Linked DNA regions of Alligator mississippiensis. The protein of the gene in region 3 purifies or fractionates together with the protein of the main gene of each other region. This does not show direct contact. Links are inferred from orthologs where the notes say so. Each region holds a gene or a part of one and is shown on either strand. Other genes may lie near its edges. The genes, in order: TULP4, SPSB3 and CUL5.

Region 1 (3,747 bases), about 300 Mb from region 3:
AGTGCTGGTCAGAGGTTCAAAACAAGTGTGTGAAGGGGGGTCACCAAGTACTGCCCCAGGGAGGAAGCCCCAGCTCATGGAAATCTGATCTGACCTCTTACCTTGTTCTCCCTCCACCCCATCCTAGACCTCATTCCTGGACCCATCCATGCCCTGTGACCTGCCTAGCTGCCATGTGCTCTGCAGACTGTTTGCATGGGATTGCACCCCAGGAGTGGGAAAGTCACACCCCCGTGGGCAGGAGAGGGAGTTGGCTTGGTGCCAGAACCGTCCCCTAGGCAGTAGAGTTTATTCACACAGACATGGAGGATGTGGGAGAGGACAGTGCATCCTGGGATGCTAGAGGACTACAACTTGGGCAGCTCATCTGTGGGGAGTGCCCATACATTAATGGAACATGAGTAGATAACAAGGATCAGTGATAAACCTGCCCTGGTGTGGCATAACTTTAAGCCGCCTAAAGTGTGCTTAAAAGTAGGTTCAGATGTTAATGCGTGGACAATCCAGGGGTTAATAACTCCAGGAGCCACCTAAAAAGTAGTGGGTAACAAGGCCCTTAGATAAAGAAATGGATAATGATGTGTCTTCAGTCAAGTTCCCATCCTGAATAAGAAGTGGATAATATTCTTCATTCTCTTATTTATTTCACACACACAGAGATACAATCAGGTGGCTCACCAGAACAAAAGCAAGTACAGATCTGAACTTATCCACTGTGTTTGCTGGTATTTTTTATCTACTAATAAGTAGATCCCCTTTGTGTAAATCCAGTTTATTTCAGGCCAGGAGTCCCCTATTTATTGAATAAAGGTTTCAGGAGCAAGGTATTAGCTGGTACCTCTAAAAAATACCATATTTTACTATTTCACAAAATCTGTAGCTCTATTGATATAACTGTAACAATTCTACCAGAATTCTTATTTTAATGAGACCTCTTTTCCATTAGTAAATCTGTCTTTTAAAATACAAAATTAAGTCTATCTAATCAAGGTTAAAAGCTCAACACTAGATGTTCAGGGTTCTTACTTTATTCATATAATCATCTCCAAAGCTGTAAATATAAAATCATACAGTAAAGAACACTTGTTATTTTAATGTCATATACCACATATCATGAAACAGATACTTTAAGTTCAAAGTCCTACGCTTCACCATGAGTCTGTGAAGGCTGCTATTTAGAACTGATCTCACTAGTTTACAGCTTCAATATGCAATTCCCAGTTGCATGCACACCCCTTACCAAAATCTCATTTAAAAATACTGTGCGTGGCTCATAGATGGGTATTCCTTGGGCAGGCACTTTTCACCCTGGCAAAATGGACTTGCCTACCAAACTGTATCACTGCAATACATTTCTAAAGGACAAATTAAAAAAAAAAATCAGTTCTCTCTTTTCAAGGTAAAAAAATTATTCCTGCACTTTGCAGGACACCCCACTCAAGTGTTTACCTTGAACACAGGCATTTACTGAAACACGTAGTGTAAGCATACAAGGTGGTGGAAGAAGGGGGAAGAAGGGGAACGAGTTACATTTGACAGGCAAAAATCTTCCCTATCACTGAATAAATTTCCTAACCCCAGAGTGAAAGAAGGTCATGGACAAAACCCAATGTTACAGATACTGCATGGAAGGCTAGAGCTGAAACAGGATCACATTACTCCAGCTTCCCACACACAAGCCAGCACAAAAGCACCCAGCTGCTTACTCTATCCTGTCCTTCTCCATATATTCTAGATGCAAGCCAGCACCAGAAATATCCTCCCTAATAGATTCGAATTGCAGGATTAACACCATTTAAAATTGAGAGAGATAAAAGGTTTAGGGAGGCAATGACATCTACCAGACGGCTAAACAGCGTTGCTCACATTTCCATCCATCTAACACCATAAGGTAAATTAAATCAGTTCAGTTTCTCTGGCAAATCTTCTTCCTTCTCCAGCTACCCTCCCTTAGTGTTTTGAGTGGCGGCTAGCAGGGGGAAAGTTGCTCTGTCTCAAGCTGTTACAAATCAGGAGCACAAAACAACTAGCTAAAATAATACTGAGGATTAGGTATTATTATTATTATTATTATTATTATTAACAAAAATAAAAGATCTCCTTTATCCAACGGCAGGAAACAAGGCTTCTTTCCAAAGGCTCCTGAATCTGTTTTATTTCACACGCACAGAGCTACAATCAGGTGGCCCACCAGAACAAAAGAAAGCATGGACTCGAAGCTGCATGTGTATGCATCCGTGTGTGCCTCTGTGTCTGTGCGCCTGTTTGTGTGTCTACGTGTGTCTATTTTTGTGTCCATGTGCACGCGCAAGAGAGCATCCCTGTGCGCACAGGAATGTCTCCATGCACGACCCTGCATGTACACGGACGTGTGCATTTGCGTGACTGCTCGTGCACAAGAGTGTCTTTGTCCAGGCATGATTCTGTGTGCGTGTGAGAGTCCATGCACGTGTGCGTGTCTCTGTGCACCCTGCAAGCGGGCACATGCAAGGCTGCGCTATTCCATGCGCACGCGGGACTATCTCGTGCCTGCCTGCAGGGGTGTCCCCGTTGCATGCGAGAGGCTCCGTGTGCACGCATGTGAGCGTGTCTGCCTACATGTCTGGCTCCGCGTCTGTGCGTGTCTGTGTCTCCGCGCGTGTGCGTGTCAGGCTCCACCATCCCCGCTGCCCGCTCCCTGATCCATACCCCCCCCTTTCCCAGGCAAGCTCGGCAGAGCAGCGCACCCGGACACCAGCCCCAACCCCCAGAAGAGGAGCTCCGTCCGACCCCCCCCCCGCCCCGCGCCGCTGTTGCTATGCGCTGCGCCCCGGCATCCCCCGTCGCCGCCGCGCTCAGTCTCACCTGCCCCGGGCGCCGCGGGCAGCCGGCCCGGCCCGGCCCAAGCCCCGCGCCCCTCGCCCGTGCCCGCAGCTCTGCTTCGCTCGGCTCCGTGTACGTCCCAGCCGCCTGCCGCCCGCCCGCGCCGGCCCTCCCTGCTGCCGAGGCGGCTGCCGCTGGGCCTGGCTCCCCCTCCACGTGACGCGACCACATGACCCGAAACACTTCCCCCGAGCCCCGCGCGTCTCCTCCTCCTCCTCCTTCCGCGCCACCGCCCGGCCCGGCTCGGCCCGGCCCGGCCCTGTCCTGTCCTCATGGACTTCCCCCCCCCATCCCGGTGTGTGTGTGTGGTTCCCATGGAAGGGTCCCAGGAAGTGGCACCACAGGCACTGGCTTTGTTTGAATGTGAGGGGATGATGCCAGGCGGGAAAAGAGGACGCCTGGCTGACCCCAAGGGTGGAAGCAGGAGTCAGCCCTGCGCTCCCCACAATTACCTCAGGGCTGGGCTGGAAGCGTGCCGTGTGCAAAGCAGCTGGGGTTCTTGTGCCCCCCGGTAGAGGCAGTTCTAAGGTGCCACCAAATCACCGTACAGCTAGCTTAAGGCTGGCACCCCTGTTTCTGCAGCCAAAAGGCAGGTGAGGGAACGATGTGGTTAACGTGATGGGCCGAAGCCTTGGATTCCTCAGCTCAGGCAACTGGGTGGCTCACAGCTGGGTCAGTTGAGTAGAAGGCTGGACTAGGTGACTTGATGGTGGACATAAGCTAAGGGACTTTGAAGAACTAGATAGATTTGAGCAGGAGGCTGGACCAGGATGACTTCGTGATGGACATGAGCTAGAGGACCTTGCGATGGACTTGAGCTGGACTAGAAGGGCCCTTCTGAGGTCCTTTACAGCCCTTTCCTATTATGTTAATTAGGTACAGCCT
Region 2 (3,747 bases), on a different chromosome or scaffold from region 3:
CAAAGGAGGACCATCCCCAACTAGATCATCTCAGCCAAAGCTTTGTCAAGCCAGGCCTTAAAAACCACCAAGGATGGAAATTCCTCCACCTCAGTAGGAAACCTGTTCCAATGAAACTTGTCTTTTTCTAATGAACAAAAGAGCATTCTTCTGCGCATGCCACCTGCCCTGGGACTTCATCATTCTCCATTCTGTTTCATGCAAATTCTGACAGACACTCCTCTCTTGGCTTCTTCACCTGGACAACTTACACCCAGCTTGCTGCTGTGGGTAATTCCACAAACACAGACTGATCAGTTTTGAATGTTAAAGAAAAGCAGCTACAGGAAAATAAGTGCGTCCATCTTTATGCAGACAAGGTTCCTTGGGTGAATTTGATATCTTTTATTAGACCAACCCAAATGGTTGGAGAATAGTTATTGAGCAAGCTTTCGGGTTCAAAAACCCTTCGTCAGGCTAAGGAAGCTGCAGCAGTTGGTGTGTTCTCTATGCAGCAGTTCTCTGTGCTTCTCTACATCCCACTTCTCCAACCCCACGGAATGCCCAGAGGTAACAAAGGAGCACTGTCCGCAACATGGGAACTGAAAACTATTGCCAAACTACCTCTTCTGCAACAGATGAAGTGATCCTGTGGTCTCTTAGTGCATGTGTGAAGAGATCAAAAATGCTGATCCAAGCAGGATCTGATCCACAAGACCCTGTGGGAATGGTTATGATTTAAAAATTCCTTCCTAACCCTTACATGCCCAGTTGATTCTGATCCATCATGAAAACCTCTCATATGGAACTGGAATCTACTGTACAGAGAGGTGAACCAATGGAGGTTGATGTTTTATTATGTAGAAACACTTCAAAGTGCAAGTGTGAGTATTTGTTAACCCCTTAAACTACTGCCAAAATGTGTACATCTCACCAGCAATTATCTGTGGAAAAGTACAGGAACGTACCGATGAGTTCATTTAGGGAAAAGAGTGCTTAAGATTAGCTTTAAGGAAGTGTTCATCCCCATGAATACTTTGTCCTTTTCAGTACATGGACGGCCTAGTTTAGACTGTTTCAGTTTCATTGGCAGTGACTAAAGATCAAATGGCTTTGCTGTTTTAGTTTTGTCAGCAGCATCTGTAAAGATAGGCAGTCAGACATGAGTCACTATTTATCTGACGACCATAGTGGAAAACTGCTCCTTCCGAGAAGGCTCTTGTCTAGAAACCAGAAGGGTCTAATCCAGGGGTGGACAAAATAAGGCTCGTGGGCTGGATCCAGCCCGCCAAAGGATTCTAACCAGCCCATGGCAGGTCCCTCAACCAGGCCTGGCCCAGGCACAGGGGGCAGCCCAGGCCATGACACACGTGACCAGTCCCACCGTCCCGGGTGCAGAGGTGCCACCTGGTGCAGCCCACCCTATCTGTGTGCACAGCTCTCCTCTCTCTAAAAACTCTGGTCTTTGCTTTTCAGTCATGGGTGATGTAGTAGTTCCAACTCCTGCAGCATCTAGCTATGGATGGGAGACTCATGACTCATGGACAGGAGAACTGACACAAATATAAAAGGCCGTGTGACCAATAACAGTGAAATGGAGGCCAAAGGGGTCAAAGAAAACAACCAAAGAAAGTCACCTAGTACAAAACTGAACATTCGGAGAAAGTCAGCCCTTCACTTCACTTCACTGGATGCTCTCACTACACCTACAGCAGCTGATGACATAGCAAAGACCATATCTTTTTCACCGCTGTAGAGGTGCTGTGCTAGGACTAAGCAAAGCCACTGGGCAACCAAAGTTAGTGCAGAGTGAGTGCTAACGTGCTTAGCAAATGTGTCTTGCCCACAGAACCTTATGTCCCAGCTCCAGAGGCCAGCCTGGCTCCTTCCTCGCCGAGTCCCGGGTATTTCATCCCTTCCACTTCCATTAATCCAGAAGCTGAGGCCAGACAGCCGCTCCAACCAGCAGTGCCTGCACTTGTGATGTCTGGGCCTTAATGTTCTTACTGCAGGAGGTGGGGAATCCGCTTAAACTCGCTGCCTTAGCCTGGCAGAGGCTGCATTTGTTTGCATCCAGGGACTCTGCAGCCTCTTCTCACCCAGGATTTCCCACAGGGGAAGATTAGAGTTGGGGCTGAGGGAGAATTTTTCCTCTCACTGTCCCCCAACCCACTCCCCTGTTTAATGTGAGAGAGAAACAGCAAGGGAGGAGCCGACTGTGGCAGGCCCAGCATCAGTGCAGCTGTCAGTGCAGCGCACACCTTTTTGAGAGAGGGGAAGGGCCGAGAAGAGGGGCCCAGTGCCACGTACTCCCCGCCCCAAGACTCGTGCAAGAGCCAGAGGAGGCTCCGCTCAGCCGCCCCTGCCCCGGATCCCGCCGGAACGGGACCCCCCAGGCGCTGGAGGCCCCGAGGAGGCCGAGCCCAGGCCGGGGGCTGCTGCGCTGCGCGCGGGGGAGCGGCACCTGCCCGCAGAGCGGAGCCGGGAGCGGCAGAGCCCGGGGCTGCAGGGCCGGGCTCGGAGCGGCCCGCGGCAGCACAGCCCAGCCCGGCCCGGCGCCGGCCACGCCGAGGTCACGACGCACATGGGAGCGGGGCGCGGCGGGACTTCGTCGCACGGAGACGGAGTCCGCACGCCCGGGCCCCGACCCCGACCCGCTCCCGCCGAGGGCGGCCGAGGAGCCCCGAGGCGTGACCGGTCGCAGCGGCGTCCGTCATCGCGGCCTGTAACAGCGCGAAGTCTTGGGTCCGGGCCGCGCGGAGCCCGGGGCGGCCAGAACGCCCCTCCCCGCCCCGCTCCGCTCACCTGTCCCCCGGCCTCGCGCCGCCGCTCGCCCGGCAGTGCCCTACTTTCCCCTCCTGAGACATAAACAATCCGCGCTGCGCACCGCCCCCTCCGCTCCCATTGGCTGTGGCCCCCCCCCCCCGAGGGTTCCGCCCCCACTCCGAGCCCGCGTTTGCCGTTGGGCGGCTCGCCCATCGCTCCGCGCTCGGGGGGCGGAGACTAGGCCGACACGCTCTCTTGCTATTCCCTTTCTGTCCCGTCAGTTTTCAGGGCGCGGCATCATTGGAGGATCATCTCAAGACGCCAAACAGAGGGGCTTCGAGCGCGGTCACGTGGCAACTGCAGAGCGCAGAGGCCTTTGGCAGAGAAACGTGCCTGTCAGCAGGTCAGGTCGGGGTTGAGTTCCAACGAGCGTCTTTGATTGGCCCGTGCGAGCCGCGGCACATGCCGGGGGGGTGGAATTAAGTCTGGAGCGCGCCTTTCCATTGGCGGCCGCGCCCATCAATCTCGGTGGCCCGGGAAAGGCGGAAGTATAAGGGCGCCGGACGCAGCATGGAGGAGACGGCGGGCGGTGAGTGGTTTGGTCTCTCAGCTGCACTGGGGCTTTCATGCCGCCGCAGCGAGTTTCTCGGGGCCTGGGCAAGGCGGCGGGGTCCTGAGTACTCTGCCCGGCGTGCTGCGTCCTTCCCCCTGCCGCGCGCTGGGAGGTGGCTGTGGCAGCCCGCGGCCGGCTCCGCTCCGTGTGGCCGCGCGCAGCCTCCCGGTAGCCGAGCCCCCGCTCCTCACTTCTGCCCCCCCCCCCCCCCGCCCCCGGTGCGCTGCCACACAGCCGGCGCCCGGACGAAAGGGGCCGGCAGTCGTGGGGCAGGAAACCTGCGCCCGTGACGGCCTCCCGTAAGCCCTGGAGAGAGGCCGCGGCGCTGAGCTGCGCGTTACCTTTGGTGGACATCCTGATGACTTCTCCCATGGTCAGACCAGCCTCCA
Region 3 (3,747 bases):
TTAAGTTTTGGGAAAAAATTGGGCAAATTAAGTTTTCAGTATCTAAAAATATTTTTTTTAAATCAAAGCCCAAATTAATCTAACAGAAAACAACCATTCTAATTTGAAAGTAACTTGTATTCAACCACAGCATTACCATTCCCAAGAATTTTAAAAAAATGCTGAGTCCTCAGCAAATTATGACCTTCCTGGTTGGGAGACTGGAAGGGGATGAGGTCTCCCTGGGAAAGATGGAGAGGGCCAAGGAGCAATGATAGATGGAGGGGTTCCCTAAGAGCAGGGGTGTCAAAGACGTGGCGCACGTGTTGGATCCGGCCAGTGGCGCCCCATCATTCGGCCCCGGTGCTGCGGTGTTGACCTGGTCTCTGCATGCAGCCTGTACCCGACTGGACCCCACCAGCGGATGCAGGATTGCACGGCCCAGAGCCCACGAAGGAACCAGTACAGGGCTGGACTGCATGTGGGGCCGGCTCCGGCCAGGCCAGGCTCTGCGCTGCACGTGGCACGTGCTCCAGGGGACCCGGGTGGGCACCACACACACATGCAGCGGGTGGCAGATCCGCCCTGCACAGGTGCTGTGTGCAAAGCAGCAGCTGGACCGGGCTCCGCAGTGCGCCGGATCCAGAAGGGCCGGGGGTGCACGGGCCCGACCTCACCCCGCTCACCCCGCCCAAGGCCCGGCCCGACGCCACGCCTGCTGCCGGGGGCGGGGGCGGGGGCTCCCGCGGGCTCTGGGCCGGGGTGCCGGCGAGGCGGCCGCCGGGCGGCAGAGGGCGCTGCCGCCGCCGTAGGCCCCCCGCCCCGCCCCCCCGCGCGCTCCGTGGCGGCGCCGCCTCACGTGCCCGCCCCTCGCATGGAGCCGGGCCGCGGCCGTGTGTCCTGGGCGGGCGCCGCCATGAGGCGCTGAGCAGCGGCGGCGGGGGGGGCAGCACCGAGCCGGCCGCTCCGGAGCCCCGAGCGGAGCCGCGGGGGCAGGGGCGGGTCGCGCGGGGCCATGTAAAGCGGGGGCGGCCCGAGCCCAGCCCAGCCCCGGCCCGGGAGCGCCGCCGCCCGGGGCCCGCGGGGCAACATGGCGACGTCTAATCTCCTAAAGGTGAGAGCGGCGCCGGGCCGGGCCCCGCGGGGAACAAAGAGCCGCCGGGCCTGGCCGCTGCCCCGCGGTCAGCGCCGCCCGCAAGGCCCGGCCCGACCCGGCCCGGGGCTCCCGGCGTGGGGCCCGCGAGCAGGGTGGGGGGGTCTCGGAGCTGTTTCGTGGGTAGCACGGGAGCGGGGGCCGGAGCTGCAGCCCTGTTCTTCCCTGGGTGGCTCCTGCCAACCTGTTACGGCGCCTGGTGCCAGGCGACCTGCGGCCGGGGGCGAGGGGCACATTGCCCTGCTCTCTGCTGGGGAAGGAGCGGCCTTGAGGGCTGGGGACCTCTTGCGAAAGGGCCGAGTCACGGGGGCTTGGCACCCGGAGGAGAAGGGGTGCCAAGTTCCCGGACGGGGGCAGAGGATGTGGCTCCGATCGCTTGACCCGTGGGGCGGGGTAGGGAGTTGCACAAACCTGGTGGTCTCCTGAGAAGCAACGCCAGGGATGTGGAGAGCAAGTTGAGTACTGTTTTGATGAGTGGTGTTTCAGCACGTGGTGTATGGACGGTGTGGTGTGTCACAGTCGAATCTGGCCTGCAGAGGTGGGTCATGCGGCCTACAGGGCTTCTTGCGGTCTCCGGATCCCGCCTGTGGGGCTAGACGTGCGGGCAGTGGGGCAGGCAGCAGTAGTGGTCAACCCCCGTGGCTGCTGTATCAGCCCCCAGGCCGGGGGTTAACACTGCTGTTGCTTACCCTGTTGCCAGATTCCCAACTTAGGATCCTTGCTGAGGATGCAGGTCTGCGATGATGACAGTATTAACCTTCCCCCTTAACTGCCAGAGCTACACTGTCAGAGGAGCCAGTATCCATGGGGGTTAATGCTGCCCCAGGGTCAGATGAGTTTGACACCTCTAGAGTGTCCCATTTGATCATTGCTCTTTCGCCGTGTGATGTTACTTGCAGCGTGCTTGGGAGTTATTGGATACTGACACACTTCCTTTGTGGAAACAGAATTACACAGCCTTTAAGCAGATGTAAGGACACTTGGCCCACCGGATTTGACTGTATTCTACTGGAAAACAATGCTTCTACTAAGTGAGAGAACAGTGTAAGGCATTAACCGTTCAGGGAGCTCTGCATGGCAGCAGGCTTAGGTGTAGCGTGATGACTTTTTCATAAACATTTCATTTCAAAGAACAGTTGCAGTTGTATTCTAAATATACAGTGATGCTTTCTTGGCAAAGGTGGTATAGAAATATGACTGAAAGAGGCATTACTGATGTCTTACAGTGCTTTTAAATAAGTAAAATTAAGTAGTAACTTTTCATCAGAACAGTTGAGAGAGCTTTATAAAAGGCAGCCAAATATAAGGCCTCTTACAAAGAGGAAACTGAGGCAACAAAAACTGCTAAAAGTTGCACAAGAGTTTGATCCAATAAATAGAAACTCCTTCCTGATGCTTAGCAAACTGTTCTCCATAAAGCATACTAGCATGAAGTGAAGCTTGCTTTGCAGTACATTTATACCCTTCCAGAATATGATATGTATATCTCTTTAAACTTTCTGGAAATTGGAGGGATGGCCCTAAAAGATAGGAAAGAAAAGGTCAAGAGCAGGCATTTTTAGGGGACATGTACAGAAGACCATGTGATTGAGTGTGTCAGGTTTAGTTAACCCTACTTTAATCCTAGTAAAGACAAGGCCTGAGAGTCGGTGCAAGCAGGCTGTATCATCGGTACAGTTTCATTGGAGTCAGTAGGGCACTGTATGGAGGGGAAAGTCTATTGCAGGATGGGGTTTAAACTAATTCCTGCCCTTTTGTGTTTCTTTCCCTTTTTAAGTAGTTAATCTCATCCCGTTTACTGGTCCGCTTGTTTGAGCTGTTCTCTTTCATCCCCGTCTCTTGTCTGATCAACCTGGACCACACCAGACACGCATAGACTCTTCAGCTTTCAACTAATATTTCTGGCTCTGTTCTTTGGATACCTCTTGCTGACTTGTTTCTTTTAAGGATTGCCTAAGATGTCAGCAAATAGTTCGTGCTAACTGTAGTTATGTAATGAACTCTTTTGTAGTTCTGATTAATTACCACTTCATACATTTAAAGCCCCACTCTCCTTCCTATTTGCTTTGTGTGGTAACCACTGTAGCTGCACTACCAGTTGTAAGAGTTGCTGGTTAGGACAGGTGGTGATTGATTGCATGTTAGATTTAAGCACTTTTAAGCCATATATCTCGCCAATAAATTAATCTCTTAGGTTGGCACAAGACAGTATTATTATTATTATTAAGTAAAAATAAAAACCCCAACTGCTAGCTACACCAAAGTAATCAAATGTGTGTCTCTTTTTAGGTGTTTACAGGTTTCACTTAGAGACTCCAGCTGAGATCAGGACCTCATTGTGCTGGGCTTTGTATGTACACTGAAGAAGACTCTCCTTGCCCCAAAGAGCTTAGAGATGAAACAGATAAGACAAAGAGTAGGAAGAACAGGCATAGAAGGGTGATGTGATTTGCCTACAGTCCCACAGTAGGTCAGCAGCAGAGCCAAGAATAGAATTTAGGTCTCCTGACTTCTAGGCCAGTGCCTTATTTACCAGTTTCTGTTTTATGTAGGTTCTTGTACTGTGCTCCTTGCTGTCTCTACTGTACTACTTTGCATCATAGCATCATGATTGT

The links.
Region 1: the proteins of CUL5 (region 3) and TULP4 purify together in Homo sapiens (affinity purification with mass spectrometry; 4 studies listed by BioGRID and IntAct, counting the BioPlex papers as one, with this or other methods). This does not show direct contact. The link is inferred for Alligator mississippiensis from reciprocal best matches to the Homo sapiens genes CUL5 and TULP4.
Region 2: the proteins of CUL5 (region 3) and SPSB3 purify together in Homo sapiens (affinity purification with mass spectrometry; 4 studies listed by BioGRID and IntAct, counting the BioPlex papers as one, with this or other methods). This does not show direct contact. The link is inferred for Alligator mississippiensis from reciprocal best matches to the Homo sapiens genes CUL5 and SPSB3.

What each region holds. Positions count from the first base shown.
Region 1 is NC_081824.1:136,414,552-136,418,298, reverse strand, and holds the start of TULP4 (tubby-related protein 4), read right to left. Parts: upstream 3,026-3,747; 5' UTR 2,845-3,025; intron 1-2,844. UniProt on the Homo sapiens protein: May be a substrate-recognition component of a SCF-like ECS (Elongin-Cullin-SOCS-box protein) E3 ubiquitin ligase complex which mediates the ubiquitination and subsequent proteasomal degradation of target proteins.
Region 2 is NC_081836.1:29,583,521-29,587,267, forward strand, and holds the start of SPSB3 (SPRY domain-containing SOCS box protein 3), read right to left. Parts: upstream 2,877-3,747; 5' UTR 2,785-2,876; intron 2,760-2,784; exon of another isoform or gene 1-2,759. Other genes in the region: cytosolic Fe-S cluster assembly factor NUBP2, read left to right, coding at 3,316-3,334.
Region 3 is NC_081824.1:437,106,231-437,109,977, reverse strand, and holds the start of CUL5 (cullin-5), read left to right. Parts: upstream 1-869; 5' UTR 870-1,069; coding exon 1,070-1,093; intron 1,094-3,747. UniProt on the Homo sapiens protein: Core component of multiple cullin-5-RING E3 ubiquitin-protein ligase complexes (ECS complexes, also named CRL5 complexes), which mediate the ubiquitination and subsequent proteasomal degradation of target proteins.